2 linked regions of the Drosophila melanogaster genome follow. The protein of the gene in region 1 interacts with the protein of each later gene in a pairwise test. Each region holds a gene or a part of one and is shown on either strand. Other genes may lie near its edges. The genes, in order: Rrp47 and DNaseII.

The links.
Region 2: the proteins of Rrp47 (region 1) and DNaseII interact in a two-hybrid assay, tested with the Drosophila melanogaster proteins (one large-scale study listed by BioGRID).

Annotation. Positions count from the first base shown.
Region 1 is NC_004354.4:15,942,735-15,954,223, forward strand, and holds Rrp47 (ribosomal RNA processing 47), read left to right. Parts: upstream 1-2,162; 5' UTR 2,163-2,321; coding exon 2,322-2,594; intron 2,595-2,662; coding exon 2,663-2,869; 3' UTR 2,870-3,515; downstream 3,516-11,489. Other genes in the region: CG8924 (uncharacterized protein), read left to right, coding at 1-556, 616-1,321; mmd (mind-meld), read right to left, coding at 5,633-6,260, 6,786-7,142, 8,416-9,202, 11,139-11,200.
Region 2 is NT_033777.3:18,012,383-18,023,889, forward strand, and holds DNaseII (deoxyribonuclease II), read left to right. Parts: upstream 1-6,992; 5' UTR 6,993-7,030; coding exon 7,031-7,134; intron 7,135-7,693; coding exon 7,694-8,690; 3' UTR 8,691-8,779; downstream 8,780-11,507. Other genes in the region: CG7785 (uncharacterized protein), read left to right, coding at 9,332-9,437, 9,724-10,290, 10,348-10,445; CG7794 (uncharacterized protein), read left to right, coding at 11,427-11,507.

The sequences.
Region 1 (11,489 bases):
TCAATGTCACGCAAGCCGGTCTTGGCCAGTTGCTTCGCTGTGCCGAACAACTGCAGATTCGCGGTCTATACGGCTCTGAGGCACCGATAAACTACAAGAAACTCCAGCAGGCGAGTCTCGAGGCTGCTAAGGATCCAGCTGCAACCACAGCGCGAAGCTTCAAGCATGTGGACAGCGCGGAAACGGACGATGCAGCCACTAATTCAACCACCTCAACAACAATGACCACCTCCTCCGCTCCACCGCTACCGGTTAACCATCAGCAACCCACAGTATTGAAGCGCCAGAATCCCGATGCTCGGCAGCAGCAGCAACAGCAGCAGCAGCAGCAGGTGCAGCAGCGACCCCAGATAAATGGCAGTAATGCTCAACAGCCATCTAAGGCCACCTCTACGAACGTTTTGGGCAGCCACTCGAATGCACCAACCGAGGATGACTCCGGCGACGAGGTGCCGAACAATTGGAATGCCTACGGGGAGCAATTCGATGATTGCAATATATCTGCGCAAGCCGTTGACAACAAAATGAATGTCCACCTATCCCTGCAGCAGGCGAGGTTTGTTTTTGCATTAATATGACAAGTATCTCTGGATAAATATATATATCTTTTCACAGGATGCAAATGCAGCTTCAGCAGCAGCAATACTTGGATTCAAATGTTGAGGACGACCACAACTATGTGGCCGCTCATGATGAAAACAATGACAGCAGTTTTGCGACAGGAGTGCCATGCGGATCCGGGCTATCCCTCAGCCTTGACACTGATCTCGATACATCGGCCAATACTTCCGGAGGACTGAGCCATAGCTCGATCGATGGTTATACTTCATATAAGCGCGTTCGACGTTCAGAAGCATCTCTAGCACAAGCGGCCAAATGTGTTTCGAAGGGCGAGACATTCCAAACTGTCAGCAATATGTTCAATATTCCTGTCTCAACCATTCGTTTCTATATGGCGCGAAAAGGAATTCTTCCGAAGCGGAAACGTGGACGTGGTGCTTCCCATGCCGGAAACATAATAATCACAACAAACTCAGGAAAACTCTCAACCGTCCCAGCGAGCATAACTCATCCCCCAGCCCATCCGCATATCCACACCAATCCCCTTCCTCACACGCAGTCTCAGCAAATGTCCATGGACAGCCTACATCTCAAGGCGGGCATCGCAAATACCAGTGGCAGCAATAGTCCGGCAACTGCAACGGCAACGTCTATGTCACCATCATTTGATATGGCCACAACAGGTGATATTGTGCCTTTTCACCTCCATAGCGATGCGGCGGCATTCAAACTCAACGATCAGAAGCTGCACATGATCTAACCACGCAATTTGCCAAGTTGTGCTGTACTAGTAGGGCGTGTATTAATAGAGAGGGATTTCCAAGCAGTAGCTGCTTTCTTTCATTTCGGGGTACGCATCGGCTCGTGTGGGATCTTTAGTCATAACATAGTCAACAAAATACAATTTATACATAGGTTTACTTAATTACGCTTTGGAGATGCCACAGTTTTATCCTTGGTTGAAAAACTCTTGCCGTTCAATCATTATTCATTTTACTTTGGCAATCATAAGAAATTACAGTAGATGTATGCTATCAACAAGGATTATGACTAAAAACTTGCGTAAAAATTTCAATTATGTTTCTTGTCGCCCCAGTACTTTAAGGAATTACTGTATTGTTAATAAGATAAATAAAATCGACCTGGAAACTTTTACTGGGTATTCGTGTGATTGCAAAGATAAGATGAAAATTTATAATAAACTCGAAGGTCGTAAAAGACATAATCATAATGCTAACAGCTTAAACTAAATAATAATGTAAAGTAATTATTATTGGTCAAATACATCCGATCTATTTTAAAACCATGTACTTTTCCTACAAGAATACGCAAATCTTCAATACTTGCTTACAATTACTCGGTTTGTTTGTTTGCTTATTTTTTTTGGTCATTATAACAATTGGCCATAAATGCAAGAATCCCAATAATAAATTACGTTGTGAAAGTATTATTAAATACATAAGTACTGTGTACGAGATGATTGGGCAATAAAAGTTTAAATGCATTCAAAGTAACAACAATTTTTTTTTTGCTAAATTTATTATTTGAAATTTGTACTGTTACTGTCAATCATTTTTTTTTTATATTTGTACATATGTATGTAGATTAGCACAGTGCAGGCGCAGAATGTTGAAGTGGAAACGGCGCTTTTTGAATACTTCTCATAGAATCTATTTCTTTTCATGTTCAATCAACGGTCACACTGTAAGCCTAAGCCAGATATAAACATTCGCACGCGATTTTAATTCCATTTAAAGAACATGGCTCAAGAAAATCAAGCTGTCGACAATGGACTGCCCTGCAACGCTTACCTGGACACAAGCCTGCGAGAGGACGAAAACATGCAACACATCCTGAAAACCTTTTACAGCAGCATCGAACTCCTGGAAGCCGACACGGAGAAGGCACTGGCGCTACAGGCAGAACGCACATTGAACACAAATGAACAAATAAAATTGGATAGCTACCTTGTGTACTTGAACAGCACACTGTTTTTCATATACCTGAAACTGCAGGGTGAAGATGCCTCAAATGTGAGTGCAATATATACACAATACACAATTCACATGGCGACAATTATCATTTAATGATTCCATTTCAGCATGCTGTGATGCACGATTTGCGTCGTACAAGGGACCTACTTGCCCGCGATAAGAAAATAAACGATGCTCTAGCGGCGCCAAGACTGGATATGCCCGCTGCCAAGCGATTTATCGCAGCTGGAACCCACACACGATTTGTGGACATGAACGGAGTTATGGTCTCCGAAAAACAATATAATAAAAGCAAGCAAGAAACTCCCAAATAATTAAAATCACAAAGTGTTGATTCTATAGTATAGCAGCCTAAAAGGATCATTTGCCTTTGTTTCGTCGTTACGCTAGACAATGACAGTTGTATTAAAAAATGTATAGAAAACACGATATTTTCTTACTGAACCATCCAAAACACAAGCGTCACAAGCAATCGACTCATCAAAGAAGTCAAGTTAGTACACCTTAATGAAACTGGGTTTACAAACTGAAACTGTTTGTTTTTTAAATGAATATCAACAACGTTCTGTATATGAATAAACTAATCTAGGTAAAAATGAAAACGAAGAAAAATGAAATCAGAATTATTTGTATGAATATGGCAGCATTCTGCCATTTATTCTGGGCTTCCTAGATTCCAAGACCGCGTCGTAACAACGTCTTCCCCCAATGTTTATCGCCAATTTTTTGTGCATGCAGGACAAAAATGATTATATGTACCTTTTCGACGACAATTCCTTCCTGTGGATAAGGCCAGTTGGAGAGGCACAACTTTCCGAGGTGCTGGACCCTTCGCCCTTTCGAAGACTACAGCAAATCTGCGAGGCGTCCCACCCGCAGGATTCCTCGCCTTTATTGTATAAAAAGCTCCTGCGTACCGTTCGTTCGTCTAGCTCCTTGCCCCATCCTTTGTCATGCCCTTGATCAGTCAAGTCAAGACGGTATAGATTCTATCGCCAAAAGGTGCTTCAAAATCTGATACTGCTGCTTACCTCATAGATTAAGATTTTATTGTTGGGACTCGGCTTTCCAAATGATATATACAAAAACAAAAAAAAAAAAAAAAAATGTTTGGAGCAAATCCTAAAGGTGTCGTTTCTGGAGCACATTGAGTGTAAATGTCAAAAATAGTATTGAAGAAGATCAAAGTTCAAATCATTGACTAATTAAAAATAGTATTGCATAGGAACAATGTTAAAATATCGCCTACTTATTATCCAGCACTTAAACAAGATACTATATACATATGTATATATATTTTTTTAAATTTCTTTAATGCCTCTTTTAAATTAGGATATAGTTGATTAATAAATCAATATTAACAAGAGAGAATGCTATAGTCGAGTTCCCCGTCTATCAGATACCCTTTACTCAGCTAGTGCTCTATTTCTGAAAGTTACTTTTTACCTTATGTATATTACCTTATATATTTGTGATCCTGGTTTTCAGAGACATTTGACAAGTAGCGAAGGAGATGAGAAACGGATGCAGTGGTCCAACAATGGTTGGAATCGACGTGCGATTCTGGGAATCATTGCTGCGAAATATTTTTAAACTCAGCATAGAAGAAAGCCCTGGTCACCCTAATGAAGACAAATGGATGTTGTAAAGCTGGAAAATAATTTTAATTCGTACGTTTCATTCTAAATGGCTTAATTTACGGTACAATACGATATATTACTGATGTTTCAAAACCGATAAATTAACATTAGCATTGTCCTTAACTTTATGTTGATCATATTCATACTTTAACCATACAGATATTAATATTTCCGATTTATTTTTTCTCCGCTTTCATGTTTTCACGTTTTCTTGAATTACTTTAATTATTTTTTATGTATATAGCGTTTTTGTTATTCATTCCATTTGGTTTTTTTTTTCGTTTTTTGGTTTTTTGGTTTTTTGGTTTTTTCCATTTTTTAAGATTATTGAACGAGAACTGGCAATATAGCCCAAAATTTTCTATCAGTCGGTGTAAGATTGCCCCAATAAGGGGGTTTTTTAAAGCCCGGGCTGGGCCCAGTGCACAATTGTATTTTTCCTGCCGCTTATCCGTGACCATCGAAATGTTCAAGTTCTCTACACGTCCAGCAAAGGATCGTATAATTTACTAACTAGCATAAATATTAATTTTCATATTTACAGCTGCGTTTTGTGTTTATTTTTATTTTTGTCTTTTTGGTTTTGTTATTTATTCTTTTTTGTGGTTTTCTGTTTACGGTCATTGTTTTTTGTTTTTTGGTTTGTTTTGTATTTTATTTTATTTTTTTTGAAAGATTTTCCTACTCGAACATTGGCATTCCATTGCTTGGTCCGAGGTATGCAAAAAATATGTAAATATTTCCCAATTTTTAATTATTTATTTCGTTAATGCGGTTGCTGTTGTTTTCGGTTTTGGTTTTGGTTAGCTTTTGCTTTCATTTTTCGGTTTTTGTTGTCTCTCATCATTATACGTATCATTATACGATTATGAATATAAATTGGGATGCACTCACTTAATAATTGTTATTAATCTATGAATAAAGTATGGCTATTTATTTACCACTCACACATAAGAATACACATTTTTGTTGCTTGTTAAGTTTGTTTTTCCATATTCATTTCCATTTTCCCATTTTCCATTTTCCATTTTCCCATTTTCCAGTTTCCCATTTCCATCTCGCTTCAATTTGTGTGCTAACTTTTACTCCGCTCCATTTTACGTTAACTAGTTTGTTTTGTTTTGGTTTTTGTCTGCTGTCTTCACATTTACATTTATTTACTTAACTACTTAGGGCTAAATTCATTTATTTATGTGCTTATACACGAGCAACGTATTGGTAACTATGCTAAAGTAATCATAAAGGTCGATACAAATTTCATTTATTTAGAGAGAAAGCTAGCTGCGCGCTGGCTCCGGGCACATGTGAGTGGAGTGGGCGTGGCTGATTGTTGATCTATGCGCGATTTCTGATGCAGTATGGACCGCATGGATCGCATGGATCGCATGGATCATATGGACCATGAGGATGATCTTCTCTATCATATAGATAACAATATCAATGCTTATATTCCGGGTAGCAGCCATTCTCGATGATTTGTTCGGACTGACTGTTGTTGCTGCTGCTGGTATCGCCTGATTGCTGCGGATGATGATGCTGATGCGGATGCTGCTGATAAATTGGCAGCTGAAGGAGCTGCAATTGCTGCTGATGCTGACTTAGTGCCGCCGTGTCTGCCGCCGCTGCTGCTGCTGCCGCCGATTGCAAACCGCGACGAATGGGCGGCTGGATAACACTTCCACTGCTTTCCGTTTCCGTTGAGGGCGGGGATGGATAGTAGTCCCTCTGACTTACACTTATACCATTTGGGACGATTGGCAAAGCCATTATAGAACTGTTGGCCACCGATGTCGCCGCTGCCACTCCCGATCCCGATCCCGCTGCCGCTGCGGAGGATTGATGATGATCGCCGTGGTGCTGATGCGGATGCTGCTGCTGCTGCTGCTGCTGCTGCTGCTGATGCGGATGCTGCTGCTGAGCTATAGCCCCCGAAATGGGTCCGACGTCGATGTATGGTTGGGAATCCGACATTGTACCGGATGGCGGCTGGTCCAATACCACGACGGATACCACATCCTCACTCGCCCACCGGGCTAACTGTTGTTGAGCTTGAATAAAGTCATCACTAGAAAATAATAATCGTAGCAGGAACAACGGCACATGGTAAGAAATCAAACGGGGGCCATCGAGGAAGCGGATTCGGATTGGGATTGGAATCGGAATCGGAATTGGAATTGGTCTAGATGGATAAATGGTATGGTCACATGCTACGTCTAGTTCTCAATCGAGCTATTCAATTTGAATTACACATCTAAACAATCAATCAATGGGAAACTATCCATAAACTAGAAGTTACAGGCCAATTGGGTTGGGGAAACTGTGGGTGTGGAGGATCATCATATGTGGGCATAAATCAAATGCTACAAACTGCTGAGCTGGTAATAAACGATGCATCAGCAGCAGATCGTCTTGGTTCAAATGGAAGAGCTCCTGAACTGAAGGGTTCTCTGAACATTATATATTATATCTTATCATATCATATCATATCAAATATGTGATCGCTCAGCTGGCTGCATCGTTTACGTGGTCAGGATAGTGGATTATGGCCTGGCAATGGAACCAAGAGACAGTAATAGTGACTCAAACCTACCTCTCGCTATCTGGTGTCTCGTGGCAGTCGAGTCGAGCGTCGACCACCTGGCGTTCGTGGTGGTCAGCGGTCTCGTAGATGCCCTCGTCCTCCTGCTGCAAATGGGTGTGCGATGAGTGATGGGACGAGTGTGGACCGTGCGTGGCATGTCCATGGGCATGGGAGTGGTGCGTATGATGTCCGAATGCGTGGGGTGAGTGCGACTGGTGCGGCGCATGGCGTCCAGATGATGCCGGCTGTCGGTAGCGTCCACCGAATGTGAATCGGGACTCCTCATCGGAACGGGGACGACAGCTTCTGCTGTAAGACGCATGAATTGTAGCGGTTTTCTGAGATTGTGGTATTTGCTGATTGGAGCTATAGGCGATAAGGATAAGAAAAAAAAGGCAAGCAAATAATCAAATTATTCAGTGGCATGGGAGTTTATGGATTTGCTGCTTTTCGGACTTGGGACTTGGGATTTTTTTTTTTTTTTTTTTTTTTTTTTTTTTTTTTTTTTTGGAAATTTATTGAATTATTATGGTTCTGCTATGTAGAAACGATAGGCAAACGAGATTTGGACTGAGCCTGAAACCGAGACCAAAACAGAGACCGATAGCCATGAGGAGAACTTAAGAGCAATGTCAAACGCATCTATTACAATGCAAATTGTTGTTGTTGTTGTTGTTGTTTTAGTTGTTGTCGTTGTTGTTGTTGTTGTTTAAAAAGAGATGTGCAAGTGATTACGTAATAGTAAATAGGAAAACGATGTGAAGTCAAGACCCTTAAGAAATAAGATCACAAGATCAAGATGGTAGTAAGTTACATAAGTTAGCTAGTTAGAGGGGCAACCAACCTTTATCACACAAGGTATTCCAGCCTGAAGCCTGCAAGAAATGCGAATATAAATTGGCATTGGCTTGAATTACATTTTAATATACTGCAGTTACAAACAAGCAGTGGCTTTCATGCCTTAATGGTAGTAGGTTAGGTCAGTAGTTTTCGATTTTAAAATAACATCATGAGTGGTTTATATATGCTTTTTGATGAGTATATGAGGCTTTAGTCTTCGGTTAGTTGTTTGTATGAACATGTGGAGATACTCTCAAGCCATCGAATATATTATATTGGGTTATTAATCACTTGCTCTACGATTTAGTTTAGTAGTGGGTAAATTGGAAATTTTGGTATCACATAGATTGACTATTGGAAACTTAAAACGCGTTGACTATTAAGAATACGGTTGGTTAATGGGAAGCAACTGTTCACTGCCTACGTTCATTACCATGTTACAAAGCGCAATACAGATAGTAGGTGTTAAAAACATCTAAGAAATTATGAATTATATATTCATAGTCACAGCAGTTAGTCATTTTATATGTTGAAGTGTGTTTAAAGCGAATGTGCGATTTCTCGATATTTTAATATCTCGATTGCTCGATTAGTTCGATTGGTTCGATCGATTGTTTGATGTGGACGAGACAAGGACAAGACAAGGACAAGACAATACAAGACAGGACGAGACAAGACAGAACAGAACAGAAGAGAAGAGAAGAGAACAGGACAGGCTTTTCGGGTGTCTGACTGACTCGGTGCCAATACTTAAAGAGGTTTACGGTGATTAAGTTCTGAAGCAGAAAATAACACTAACCCTTGAGATGACTCACTACAAGCCGCGGAACTTTCTAATCTATAGTGTCGATCGGCCTCTGTTTCCGACATTCGTATATCCTCGGATCCGCTGGGACTCATGTGACGGGACGAGTGGTGCTCTAGCTGCCTGATCAGGTCCTCCAGATTGCGTATACGCAGTGGTCCCGTCGACGGTGCATCATCGTCATCCAGCTGCTGCGGCTGCAGCGCCACCGTCGACGGCTGATGCAATTGATGCTGGGATCGATGATGGTGCAGCATGGTGCCGCCATGGCCCGGCATGCCACCCGACATGGATGTCGATCCGCCGCCGGCTCCCACGCTCGAGCCCAGTCCCATGCCGCCGAGTCCGCCGCCGCTGCCATCGAGGATGATCGCATGGACGGCGGCATTGTCGCAGATGTTCTCACGCGAACTGGACTTGGAACCAATGTTACGCTTGTACTGCTCCGCCGAATAGCCCAGCTGGGAATTGTTGCAGTCCTGCAGCGTCTTGCGCAGCATCTCCTCGCTCAGGCTGCCGCTGCCGACGGGCGTGTTTCCGGTTCCGGTTCCCCGATGCGTGGCCGCATTCCGTAGCGCCTCCAAAATGTCCTCATGATACCCATTAAGGGATTTAAGCGTCCGCTCCACCTCGGAGGCAGCCGCACCGCCGCTCGTCGACGCCAGGGTGCCGTCTTGGGTAATAAGCTCGAGGTTATCGGACTGATTGTCATCGCCCCATTTGTCTTTTAGCTGCTCACCGTGCACCAGACCGTAGCCGTGCTTCTTTAATATACCCTTCTCTGTGGCAGCCAATAATAATGCATTAGGTTTGTCGTTAGTATTTAGTTCCAATGTGCATGTAAAGGGAATATAGTACAAATTTTTCAGGTAGAGAATAGGCGCGTGACTGCAAAACAGCGATTATAGTGGGTTTGTCTTATGTGTATATACGTACGTATACTTAATTTGCACAAGAAATGTGTACCTACACATGTACATATTGTATGTATTGTAGTTATTCACTTGAACTCTGTTCGTTTGGCTAATTTCTTATGCAATTTCCATAGAGCAATTAGTTTATACTTGTGAATAGTCTTTGTCGCTTTGCAAAAAGATTCCCGATTCTTGGTCAATTGTGTGTGTGTGTGTGTGTGTGTTGTGTGCGTGTTCGTTGTAGTAAACCCTATTAAGTTTATATATTACTGATCACCATTATCATGCGAGTCGATGCAAAGTTACATAAAAATAGGTCAAATATGCTTTGGGTAACTATTTTTCAGAATTGAAAAGGGGGTAAACAATAATACTGATCAAAAGCTACTAGTTTTCTTTAAAACTATAATTTTATAATATCTTTAAAAAACAAACAGTGATATTAACATTTGAAATCCTAACACTTTCATACTTTGTTGCCTAGCTTTCGGCGTTTATACGGACGAACAGGCTGGTTTTTATACGGACAGATGCTGATCAAGAATATATATATGTACATAAAGAAGGGTCGGAAAAGTTATTATGTACTTTGTACATATTCTTCAAAGTAATATTTAAAAAGTAATTATTGAACATAAGCTTTCGATGGGTTGTGTTCCGTTGACATCAAAAGAACATAAAGTAAATAAATAAAATGCCCTTTGAATAATGTTAAAGTTACTATAATTATATCTTTATTAACGTAAATATCAAAACAGGGTATTAAAATGCCAACACAAAAGATATGTAGACAATGCTTTTCAGCCCTTTTTAGATAATTTCAATAAGATACTTAACAAGATCGACTTGGATGTTGATTCTGATCCCATATATAAATACAATAGGGTCGGAAGGGTTTTTAAAAACCTCTTTGACAAAGATTATACATATAGAATGAATTGAATTAAGCTTAAGATTCTTGAGGAAGCCCACAAATAGTTGACTAATTTTTCTCACTAAAGCTCCGACAAAAACAAAGATGAAAACTCGGGTCGCTTAAAAAGGGCATAAGAAGCTTGCTGGGAATGTGTACGTATGTATAGATAAACAACATATATGTTTGCTGAAAATAAACTTATGATTGCTATTCAATAGAGTATTAATGTCAAACAGTAACTGCAATAATAGAAGCTCTGAAGAGTACAAGCATTAAACGATTAATCAAGAGTTAGTCTATTCAAATTTAGCTCGTTAACATGGAAGGCATCTAAACTGTTAAGCGGGAAACACAAAGGAACACAAATTTATTGCAAACCGTTCTTTCATTAATATACGATTACTTAGTTTTTAGGGGGGAAATTCCCGTTCACTGTATCATGTGCAAGAACTGATGTTATCCCTAATTTCCATGAATATGTGTAAGAAATGTTGCTTTAATACCTAATGTGTCCCCTACAAGATTTAGAATATTGTTTTTTGGAAAATGAAAACTTTTCGAGGCCATAGAACGAGAACCTCCCCTAAAATACGATTACAAAAAAGTCAAAATCAGGGATTTCACTGAAATCTCAAGAGAAATAGAAAACCTCTTAAAAATCCTTTGGTGTTTCAGAGATCTGTACAGTTGTATTTTTAAATGGAATATATATTGCATTTGTATATATTATTGTATATTATATTATATTTTCGATTTCTGTGACACCGTTTTGGGACTTTTAGTCGAAATTCGAATCTGAGAGGTTTCGGTGACACCCCTTAGCCACTTTGTTTGTGAATCTAATCTAAGCACAAGTTATGTAATAATTGTAAACATAATGTATTAACCTGCATGTGACTGATCGTCCTCGCCACATGTCGTGTAGCGTCGTCCATGGATTCCCTTGTCCCTGTGAAGGATAATAATAATGAAATTGGGGCATATCATAAGATCGGTTGGTAAAGAGGAACCGAGCTACTTGCGGCGATGCTAAACGATGAATCAGCCAGCAGCTTTCAAATAGTTTTATCAAATGGTACAATCTTTAATAAGAAGATCTTAGCCCAATGATATATATTGGCAGTAAAGATCAAAGATCAAAGATCTTGTAAGCGATGCATTCAGCTTGCAAGTTTGCTGATGCATCGTTTATCATAGAAATTTCAAGATATGATGGCTGTTAACGAGTTATCACATGA
Region 2 (11,507 bases), on another chromosome or scaffold:
CTTCCGCTGGGAGACTGCCCCGCCAACCATTCTATGTCCGCACAACGTGGGCTTTGACTCACGTACTTCAAATGCCAAACGGCCACATAAATATGTTTTTTCAATTTGCTGCAAGAAAAAGCCACGGCAGCAGTGGCAGCAGCTTTATAAAAAATGCAAAATTAAACGCAGCATGCCACACCTATATTGCCATACACATAACCCACTTGACTACTGCCCCACCAATTTAACCCAACCACATTAAACGTTCGGGCTTTAAACCACTTTTGTTCAAGGCATGGTCTGTACTTTACTTTATTGTAGGTTGTTTGAAAATCAATTTGCATATCGAGGGGTGAGCATGCCCGAGCTGCCATAAATATTATTACTAGCCAATGGAAAGTCCAACAATTTATTTAATTTTTAATAACAGAGCGTTAAAGTGAAGATTTTCTTGCCTGAATGAACTTTACGATATTATATATAGATCAAAGTATTTGACTAGATTTTATTTTAACTTTCTATCAAAGTCTATATCTAAATTAAATTGATATATTTTTTGAATTTTTTAGTTATTTTATGTTCTTTAGTCTTGAATATTTACCCTAAAAAATCAAAATAAATAGAAAGTTAGAAGCCATAAAAAGTGATTTTAAAATATTTTAGGTCCACGCATGAGTAGTTCCCAAACAACCACTTAAATAGCCAGCACCAACGAAACCAGTAGTTGGACCACTTACACTGACAAAAACTAATTGTGCCTCACACTTTGCAAATTATTTCCAGAGGAGCGGGTATGGAATCACGGCATGATTTGCTCGCTAAAAAGCTAGAGCGCGAAATGCAGCAACAGCAGACGCAAGTGCATCACCAGACGCAGCAGCAACAGCAGCAGCAGCAGCACCACCACACAGCAGCGCAGCACTACCACCACAGCCACCAGACAGCGCACCACCAGCAGCAGCAACAGCAGCACCACCAGCAGCAACAACAGCAACAGCAGCAGCAACAGCAACAGCAGGCACAGCAGCAGCACCTGAGCCACCACCACCACCACCATCATCACCATCAGCAGCAGTTCTTGATGACGCCGACAGCAACCTGACCTTATGCGACAACGACGACGACGACTACGACGCCGCCGCACCACCACCCACATCAGCTCCACCAGCCGCACCACCAACAGCAGCAGCAGCTGCAGCCGCACCACATCTACTCGTACGTGCTGCCGGCAGTCAGTCACATAGCGGCCTGAGGTGGCCACATTTGAGTTTGAGAAAATCGAGGCAAAGAAGCTCCGCATGCAACGGATTCATGCGAGAAGTAAGAACCTTTAGTTCTAGGCATACAAAAATAACAGAAAAAAAAATGTTGAAAAATCAAAAAAAAAAAACTAAAAACAAAACAAAAATGCAAAAAGAAGTTAATTTATATATATATATGACGGAGAGGAAGCAGCTGCCGCAGACCCGTGTATAACCCCAGTTTAGTGAAATTTTTCGACAGGCAACAAAAGATTTGTAGTGAAAACCAAAAAACGGGATAAACTTGTAGTAAAATATACAATTTACCATAGATCGAAAGCTGAGCGAACTACTTAACTAAGTTAGTTGCAAATACAGCCGATATGCCCCCTATAAACGAATACACATATATACATACATAAACACCTATATATACATGCATATATATATAGCAAGCTGATCGAGAATTTGTTTGTTATTCAATATCCATTTAATGTTCTTTTGTAGCTTGATAAATTGATTTTGTTTGAAGTTTTTGTTTGTGAAATGTTTGCGTTCTTTTATTGTTACTTCTTACCCTACATTCAAAACCCCCCCCCCCCCCCCAAACATAAACGACTTTTCACACAAGGAATTGAGACATGAAATTCGTATTAATCTCATAATTTCTAATTTTTCGATATATCAAACAGCGTAAGGGAATAAATTATGAACAAAAAGTGTAGGGAGAAAGAAAAGTATATAATTATAGCTTAACCGAATGTGCCCTTTAAATAGCTCTCTTTCTAGAATTATAAAAAAGTAATATGAAACAGAAAAAAAAAAACAACCAAAAGAAAACAATTTAAATGTATGCATTAATGTAATAATTGTATAACTAGTAAGGTAAATTTTCAAAATGTTACTCAACAAGAAAATTCTACAAAACAAACCACAACGAGTAGTCGACGTCATCGTATAAATTTAAATTTATATTGAGGAATACTGAAGAAAGCTGGTTTCGAAATTTATTTGTTACAAACGTAAGCATAACAAAATTTAAATGTGAATTTCAAATTTACCCGATAAGGACCTATCGACGACATGGGATGAACGTTGCACGTGCGCTGTAGTGAAGCAAAGACTCGAGAAAAAAACCGATTTTTAAGAAACAAGAAACCAGAAATGCTGAAACTGCTGGCACAGGACACTCCAAAACTTTCCGCCCAGAACTCTATGTTTTCTTTCGCCACTTTTGGTTGAGACTTTTCTGCGTTTCCCCTACAAAGACTTGAACTTTTACTAGAGGCCCCCAAATCTGCAGGACTTCATTTACATAGTGAGAAACTTTATTCCTAACCAACTTTCGAAATGCTAGAACAATCAAATCACATTTCTTGCTAAACCAACGATCGATTTAATGGGGTGGGGGAGGGGAGGTCGCAGAACGAGATCGTATGCGTAGGTATCGAATATCGGATACCGTGTGAGGGTGGGGAGAGTGCTTAAGAGGTAACAGCAAACAAGGACGAGTAAATAAAATCAATGGCATATCATCTTACGTAGCAAAGCATAAGTCGAGCATGTATGTGTGACTACAAAAAGCGACAAATTCTATTGTAACTAAATGCAAGAGCAGCAGAACAGCAGAAACCAACTATAATTAATTATTATAAAAACAATGTAAAGCTTAAAGGCTAACAACTATATATAGTTAAATACGAAAACAAATTGTAAGCAAGCTTTTTACATCATAATTTTCGAATGGTTTTCGAAAGAGTTCGTTCAGCCTTGTTTAAACCAATATAAGTATATATATATATACGGATAAAATCTTACATTTTTACCAAAGTTGTCCTTACTAATTAAACAAGTTATGTTAACCAATTCACACACAATTTGTTAAACAAAAACAGAAGGAACCCACGAGTAAATCAACTAATTTTAAACGTTTTTTAAAGCTTAGTTTAGTGTAAACGTGACTAGACATACCAAAGGCATATTTGAAACAAAAACCACAGTTGTTAGAAGGAAATATGAAACAAAAAGAGAAACATTTACTAATTGGTACTGTTTTAGCCCTTTTTCCATACAAATTTTCTTTAAATATTTAATTACATTATTTCCCCGTCTAACTTTAGTCGAATGTAAAATGCATATTCCGTCCAATTACATTTCGTGCTTTCCTCTTGCCCAAAAAAAAAAAAAAACATCATCTCTTCGCCAGCATCGCGTTGGTTTAAGAGGCATCATCATTCGGAGTTAAGAACAGAGGTCTACATATAAGTCTGTAATCCTAACATACACACACACACACACACGCACGCACACGCTCACCACAAAGACAAGTAAATTAGTTAAAGTTTTAGCGTGTAAGCAAGGAAAAATGTTTAATTATACATAATATACTAATGCATATCATTAAATTGCGCCTTTCAAAACAATTAAGAAAAACAAAATGCCCGACGATGGAAAACAAAAATATTTACAACTATAAATAAGCATAAATAACGAAACAAAAATCGATAGATGCTAAAGTACGAAACAAATATTTTCGAAATTAATTTTTAGCGCCTAAGTGTGGTCGACGAGCCCAAAAGTATGCAACAAAAGCAATGGAAGTACGCATAAGTGTGTGAGTGTGCAAAAGTGTGTGTGCGTGTGTGTGCGTGTGTGCATCTGGGAAAATCTTGTGCAATTTTCATTGAAGATAGTAAGCGATAAGAAGAGGGAAAACCAGCGCGTTGGCAAGGTTGTTCAGTCCCCACCCCCAAATAGAAAAAAAAACCATTTTGAGGCTTGATTTCCAAACATTCTTTAAGCTAAATTTCATAGCTCTATATACATCCAGATTTTACATATCTGCAGCATGCAAATATTAAACTAAAAATTGGGAATATCTCGAAAACACAACAGAAGATGAAAACCTAGCTCGTTAGGGATAAACTAGAGAATGCTAAAATGAATGACAGAAAAACTAAACTAAACAATATGAATTATGGGAACATTATATGAATATATACATACGCATATATTAAAACATTTTTGAAACAAAACGAAAACCTAATAATAATTACAAATGATGGAAAAAATAACAAATACATATCAGCAAAACGGATAAAGAAGAAAACTTTTACAAGCAACATTATTAAGGAACATAAAACCGATATGTTTTGATGTGGTTTTTAAATTTTTAAACATTGTAAGCGCAAAAAGGCAGAAAGCAGTTACCAAAAAAAAAAAATTAAGGGGGAAGCAAGCATAACTGATTGAAAGCTTAGTAATAGATTACGGAACTACTTACATAATGCCTAGCTATATGCTTACCTAGTAATGTCATATCTAAATACATATGTGGCAGCAGTAATAGCAAGACAGTAAAAGTAACAGTAAAAATAACGATAAAAATCAGTAACAGTATATATCCTACTCTATTGTATTTATTGTACGGCTATAATTTGTGTATCGAAAATCTTTGATTGATTGATTTCTATTTAGTTTAAGTTGCCTCCGAAATTGCCTTATGTTTGCCTAAAAAAAAAAATAAAACTAAAAATTTAAATTACCAACAATTTAATACTAATTTCTAAGTAATTTATATGTATATGTATGGTATACCTCTATGATAAACCCTTATATAAATATACTTATATCATTTGTGTAGCCTTAACTTAGAACTTTTCAATTGACGGTATTAATTACGCATAATAAAACTTTATATTTTGTTCGTTAAACAAACCCATTATTGTTTCACTCAGTTCCAAATCTCACACAACCAAGCGATAAACCTTTGAAGAAACGAATTTTGAATTAGTGACAATTTTTGCAAGAAAATTAAAACCAACTATACAATTACATATATTAATACCACATATATGCATCGCTCTCCCCATTTCAAGTTTTGAGTCATTTGCGGGAGAGTCAACTAGAATGGCATTGTACTCAACCTGGTAGGTCTGAGAAAATCGCTGTATATTTGTAATACTTAAATACTATGCATATCTATATCTTATACAGACAGACATATGTATAGTATCTTTAGAGGGTTAAGTAGGAAAGGTAACTGATATTGAATATTGAAAATATCAAGGCAGAGAAAGGTATCGAAATACCGGCAGATAAATGAAGATAACACAAGTCAAAACATATCAAACTCGTGCCCGATTAAAACTATATATACACATATATATACACTATATATATATATATATATATATATATATATTAATGAAAAGCAGGCGCAAATTAGGCGCAGCAAATTTCAAAAATAACAAAGAAGGAGAATGATAAAATTATTAAATATGCCGAAAGTCTAACGGGAAATGCAATTTTATTTGCATAACTCAACAGTTGAGTCTACTTTTATCCGTAAATAATACGAAAATAATGATTAATATTAATTGAGATATTAAAAGTAAAAAAAAAAAAATACAAGAAATGGCAAGTATTTGTCTATTTTGAGGCTCATTTATTTAACATTTTCGCGAAACCAAGTACGACCTTCTTTTTTCAAATCGAATAAAGATCTTTGCTAATATTGTAAAAAACAAATTGATTTTTCAAGCAAATGAAAACCAAAACGTATAGCTAAATATTATTATAAAACTTACATAAAACAGAAACAAAACTCGTATATATATATATATAAATATAAATATCAGCCTTGTTCTTTATATATATATTTGAAAAACCAAAAAAATGAAAAACCATACAAAATATTAATAAATTATTAACAACTATGAAAAAATTGATACAAAAAAAAAAAATACATAAAAAATATTTAGCGAAAATATTGTATTGTGAGTTTAAATGTATTGTTGCATACGAAACCAAAGAAATGACATAACAAATCGGTACACCTAAGTTAAATATAAATCTAAATGGCAATACCAACCGATTGGCAAAACAAAAAGAAAAAAAAACATAATATCATCTGATAATATCATATCAGATCGGATCAAAGCAGATCAGAGGAAATTCGAAACAGAATGAAAGGTGAACCATTTTTTCACAGACAGCCACCAGCGATAAGAACTAACGAAGTTGAATTCAATTAATTTACCAGACAGTTTATTTCCAATATAATTCAATATTAGCAGATGGGCTCGCCCGCCCGCAAGACAAATTATACAATTTGATAACGATAATATTTTCATGCGATCACGATCGAGGAGGAAAGCACAAACGATATGCCCTGCAATGCAAACGGGGAAAAGAGCAACAAATTGCAGTTTTCAGCAGGCGACAAATTATAATAATACAATACGAATAATAAATAAAAACTTTAACAATTGTTTTGTGTAATTGTAAAGAAGTGGAGTTCTTTTCACCGCCAGTGGGATGAATGGGATGTTTATGTGATGATGGTGAAATGGGTAAGTATTTATAATATGTTACAGATTGGACAAGATTCTTAGTAGTTTCTTATAATATCCATAAAAATGAAGTCAAACATATTTAGTAGAGTATAATATATTCGTTGTAGCCGCATTTAGTGCGCTTGGCTTATCAGCGACCTCTCTGTTCGACTGATCTTTTGCAATAAGTGGCTGACCCCTCAGATAGCAGACAACGTGGCGATAGGCTGTGTTAAAAACCCAAACACGACCAAATATTTACAAATCCAACTTTTAGATAAAACAGACAAACAGCAAGGATCTCAGTTTTCACTCGATTCAAGCGTTTTTACCTGGTGAAGAAATCGAAAAAGATTAAGATGGATTTCAATTTGCGACTGAGACACCCTGTATGAGCACAGCCGTTGATTGGATTGGATTCACTGACACTTATTTAGTTGTTTTCCGGCCGAGCAACTTGAAGGTTGTACAATGCGATCTCTGTGCTTCGTTTTGCTGTTCGTTTGGTTTTTCTACCAAAACGAAGCTAAGTCTAAGGTTTCCTGTAAGGATGAAGCTGGAAACGATGTAGATTGGTAAGTATTTCGATTAACAGATCAAACAATAAATAGTTTAGTTCTTAAAACATTACTAAATGTGCTTATTAGAAAAGTTACTTATAAATATTGGCCTTTCACATACTTTTTCATTTATCTGCAGTCGCTGTTTGCATATCATTAACAATTTGCAAACACAACGTATTTTAGTTATTTATATACACTGCTGTATTGAGATTATTCTAAAAGAGGCGATAAACAAATTGAATATGATGAGTTCAAGTTCAAGCGGAAAAATTGATAATAATTGTACAATACTGTGTGACAAGAAATTAAAAAGTAATTAGTGTGTTATTTTGTTTCCTAAAATGAGAGATTTAAATCAAAGTTGTTTGCTACAAACAAACTTAATCAATTTGATAACAATAACATCATTTTTAATACTTTTCCATTTCCAAAAATAGATTAAATGGTAATTATTTTTTTTTTTTAATATCTTAAAAACAAATTTCCAAAGATTGAGGGGTTTTCTCGATGAGATAAACATGTTTTTAATTTATTTAATAATTTTTTTTCAAATATTCCTTTATAATTTTAGGTGGCACCTTTACAAACTGCCCAAGCACTACCAGCACAACGATTTGGGCAAGGACACCAGTGGCTTGAAGTACCTGTACGTGACCAGCCAGAACTATGACACCTGGCAGATGTCGGGAAAGTTCATTAGTGATCCCCTATCGCTGCCTGCCCAGACCCTTAACCCCTTGAACGACGATCCCAGCCACACTCTGCTGGCCGCCTACAACGATCAACAGCCGAATGGCACGGTTTTCAGCAGCGGTGGTCATGCCAAAGGAGTGGTGGCCAGTGATGGGGAGACGGCTATTTGGATTGTCCACTCGGTGCCCAAATTTCCAACAATTCCGGACTACAGCTATCCCACATCCGGCGAGCAGTACGCACAGAGCATGCTCTGCGTCACACTGAAGGGCGAGGATTTGGAGAAGGTTGGTCAGATTCTGGTGTACAATGAACCGCACTTCTACTATCAACGCAACCCGCTGGCCACTCGCTCCGATGAGCTGTTCCCGAGCCTGGAAAGGGCTCTGCATGGTCAGTGGCGGACGGAATCACCGTTCCAGAAGGACTTGGAGGTGCGCAGCTTGGACGGCAAGAAGTTCCGGCTGTTTGGCAAGAGTGGACGCGCCAATGTGGAGCTGTACGCCGATGTGGTCGCACCCACTCTGGATGTCAGTCTTTTTGTGGAGGCGTGGCGCGACGGTGCCGGCAACTTACCGAATAGCTGCGATAAGTCCGATAAGGTTCTCAATGTGGAATCCATTTCCAATCCGGAGCTATCGGTGGACTTTAAGACCACACAAGATCACTCCAAGTGGGCGGTATCTCGTCCCACAGGCATTTTGATCTACCATTGGCGAGTTGGCGGCGGAGATTGGATTTGTGTGGGCGACATCAACCGGCAAGAAGGTCAGTTGCATCGTGGTGGTGGAACCGTGTGCCACAAGAGCGCCAGGGTATCCAATCTGTACCGCCAACTGGTCACCAACTACGACAAGTGCGCCCAACAGGAATAGAATCTGAACTAACTAAGACTATTTGTAAAGTTGCGTCAACAATTAAATAAACACCATTTTTGCATTACATTTAATGCATAAGAAAATTGAAAGATGTTGAAAAGAGGTATTATTTATACAAAGAACTTATTTGCATTTGTTATAGATAATATATAATAATTTAAATTTTAAATTTAAGGCGCCGTGCAACTTCTTTTCTTTTTCTTTCTGCTCTTTTCCGGACACTCGCTAGCGCCATTTCTTCAACGCACTCTTGTCGTACATTTTAGGTACTAAAAAGCGCATTGAAAACTAGGTGGCGCTCGTACTTAAACTTTTCTTAATTCTATAGCTGTTGCTAAACTATTTGCCAAAAAAAAAAAACATTGAAATATCAACAAACATGTATAAATTATTTACAAATGTGTCAATTGCATTTGGTTGCATCTAATTATTCATTTATAGCGCCACCTATCCGTCACTCTTCTACCCATTATTATCACATATACCAGAAAATGCAAATTCAGTATGACCATCAGCTGGAAAAAGAGCACAGCTGTTTACAAAAACAAAACCAAGCGAAGAAGCGAAAATTATTGGCGATTTTTAAAAATCCAAATTAAAACTAGATTCGGAGTCGGAAAACCTTCATAGATTTGGGAATGTTCTGCTGCCTACGCACCTGTCTCAATGGTGGACACATAAGGAAACCGACGGCAACCAGTCGCCTGCGGGAGCCCGATGTTCACCTGGATGCAGCGCATATGGGTAAAATTACACTAAATTCAGAAGGATTAAGATACACTATCCTTAAAATGGTCAACTGAAGCGATTGCGAGAGAACTAATGTGTTTTTCCAAAAGATATGTAGCTTCGATAATAAGTGATACCCCAATAAAGATATCAACATTCCCAATTTTATCGCACAATTCAGATACGTGATCAGATATTAATATATATGTACATACAATAGAAGTGCTTATATTCTCATTCAACAGGCTTAACCATCTTGTATCTTACTAATAATATGTATATCATATCATCCATTTGGCAGGACCTGATGTAATCCTGCTGTCACACCAACTGCGCGTAACGGGCACTGGCGGCGTCCTGGCCACGGCGCCTTTGGTCCAATCGAAGTCCTACTTCGAGGTGAAGATCCAGCACGGCGGCAGCTGGTCGGTGGGCTTGGCAACGCGTCAAACGGATCTCAGTCGCAAGAGCGGCGGCGGGGATCGAGAGTCCTGGTGCCTGTGCTCCGATAATGCCACACGCCACAATGACCGCGAGGAGTTCCGACCAGTGGTGCAGTCTGCTTGCACCACTCAGCCAGCGAGGACGAGCAATGGTATCCTGAACAATAGCGCTGCCAAAGCGGCCGGACTCATTGCCATCGAGGATTTGCAGCAGGAAGATCTGCTGATGACCACTGGAGTGGCATCATCCGATGTGGATATCGGTGATTCGTTGATAGCATCGCCACAGCGAGATTTTCCCGATGAAGGAGACATTGTGGGCGTCGCCTTTGACCACGTGGAGCTGAATTTCTACTTCAATGGAAAGAATCTGGAGGTTCCATTTCGAAATGTACGAGGAGCAGCACTATTTCCCGTCATTTATGGTGAGTTTTCGTACTCTTAAGAGAAGCTTATCACCATAATTAACCTAATTTTTTTAGTGGGCAATGGCGCCATTCTGGACATTATCTTGGATAATTTTTCACACGGACCACCACCAGGATTCGAACGCATTCTATTGGAACAGTCACTTCTTTAGATAGTCCACACAAAAGCCTTGAACAAATTAGCAGCATGAGAACAAAGCATTAACAAGAATAACTAAAAGACGGTGCATTTTAGGACTTTAGGAACGCATTTCATTCAAGTAATTTTTGTGGCACTTTCTCTGCCAATGCGGACAACTACCTTTAAAAAAAATGAAATACATTATTGTCTAGTAACACTTTATTTATTTAATGTAAAAGTTAAGTTACAAGAATGACATTTTAAATATGCATTCTAGATTAAGTTTTAAAATGCGAACTTTCAGTATAAAACAAATTATTTACACATTTTAGTTTTAGTTTTAGTTATTCCTTTGCCATATTTCTTCTCTAGTCAAAAAGAAAAGTTCCCAAGCTGAATTCTATCTCACAACCAAAACAGCTATTAAATTATTTCAATTTACTTTGTACACATATCTTAATCGATTTTGTTGATTTTCACCACATATTTACTTATAGTCGTAAAATGCACTGTTCTGTTCTCATTTAGACATCAGGTGTATAAACTTTGTAAACTCTCTAGTCCTTGCACTATCCAAACCGAAAGTATTTGTATAATTTTATTAATGTTTTGTAAATTATTTACGTAGCTTGACGTAGCATTTGTATTATACACAGAGATACGCGTATCTGCATACAGATACAGATGAATTTTTTTGTAGGACTAGGTGGCCACAATTCAATTCTGACTTCATCGTACACATTCCAATTTACAACGGCAACGTACTCGAGCACGGAATTACCTAACTAAATATAAGAATATATCTGTATATCTAATAAATTGTATCTACACGTATCCAACGCTTCGAAAACTGATTAATCCGCGCGCGGACAATAAATCAATGTTATGTACTTAATCCGTTGTGTAGCAAGTTTTCCTTGTTTAGATTGTCAATTCGATTTGATTTTAGAACATTTTGGAAAACTACATTCCCAGAGAAAGGAAATTAATGGTTAAAATTAAGATATGACACATGTCCGGAAAGGGGGAGATCATCCAGATCCACATTGGCCAGGCCGGTGTGCAGATAGCCAACGCCTGTTGGGAGCTCTTC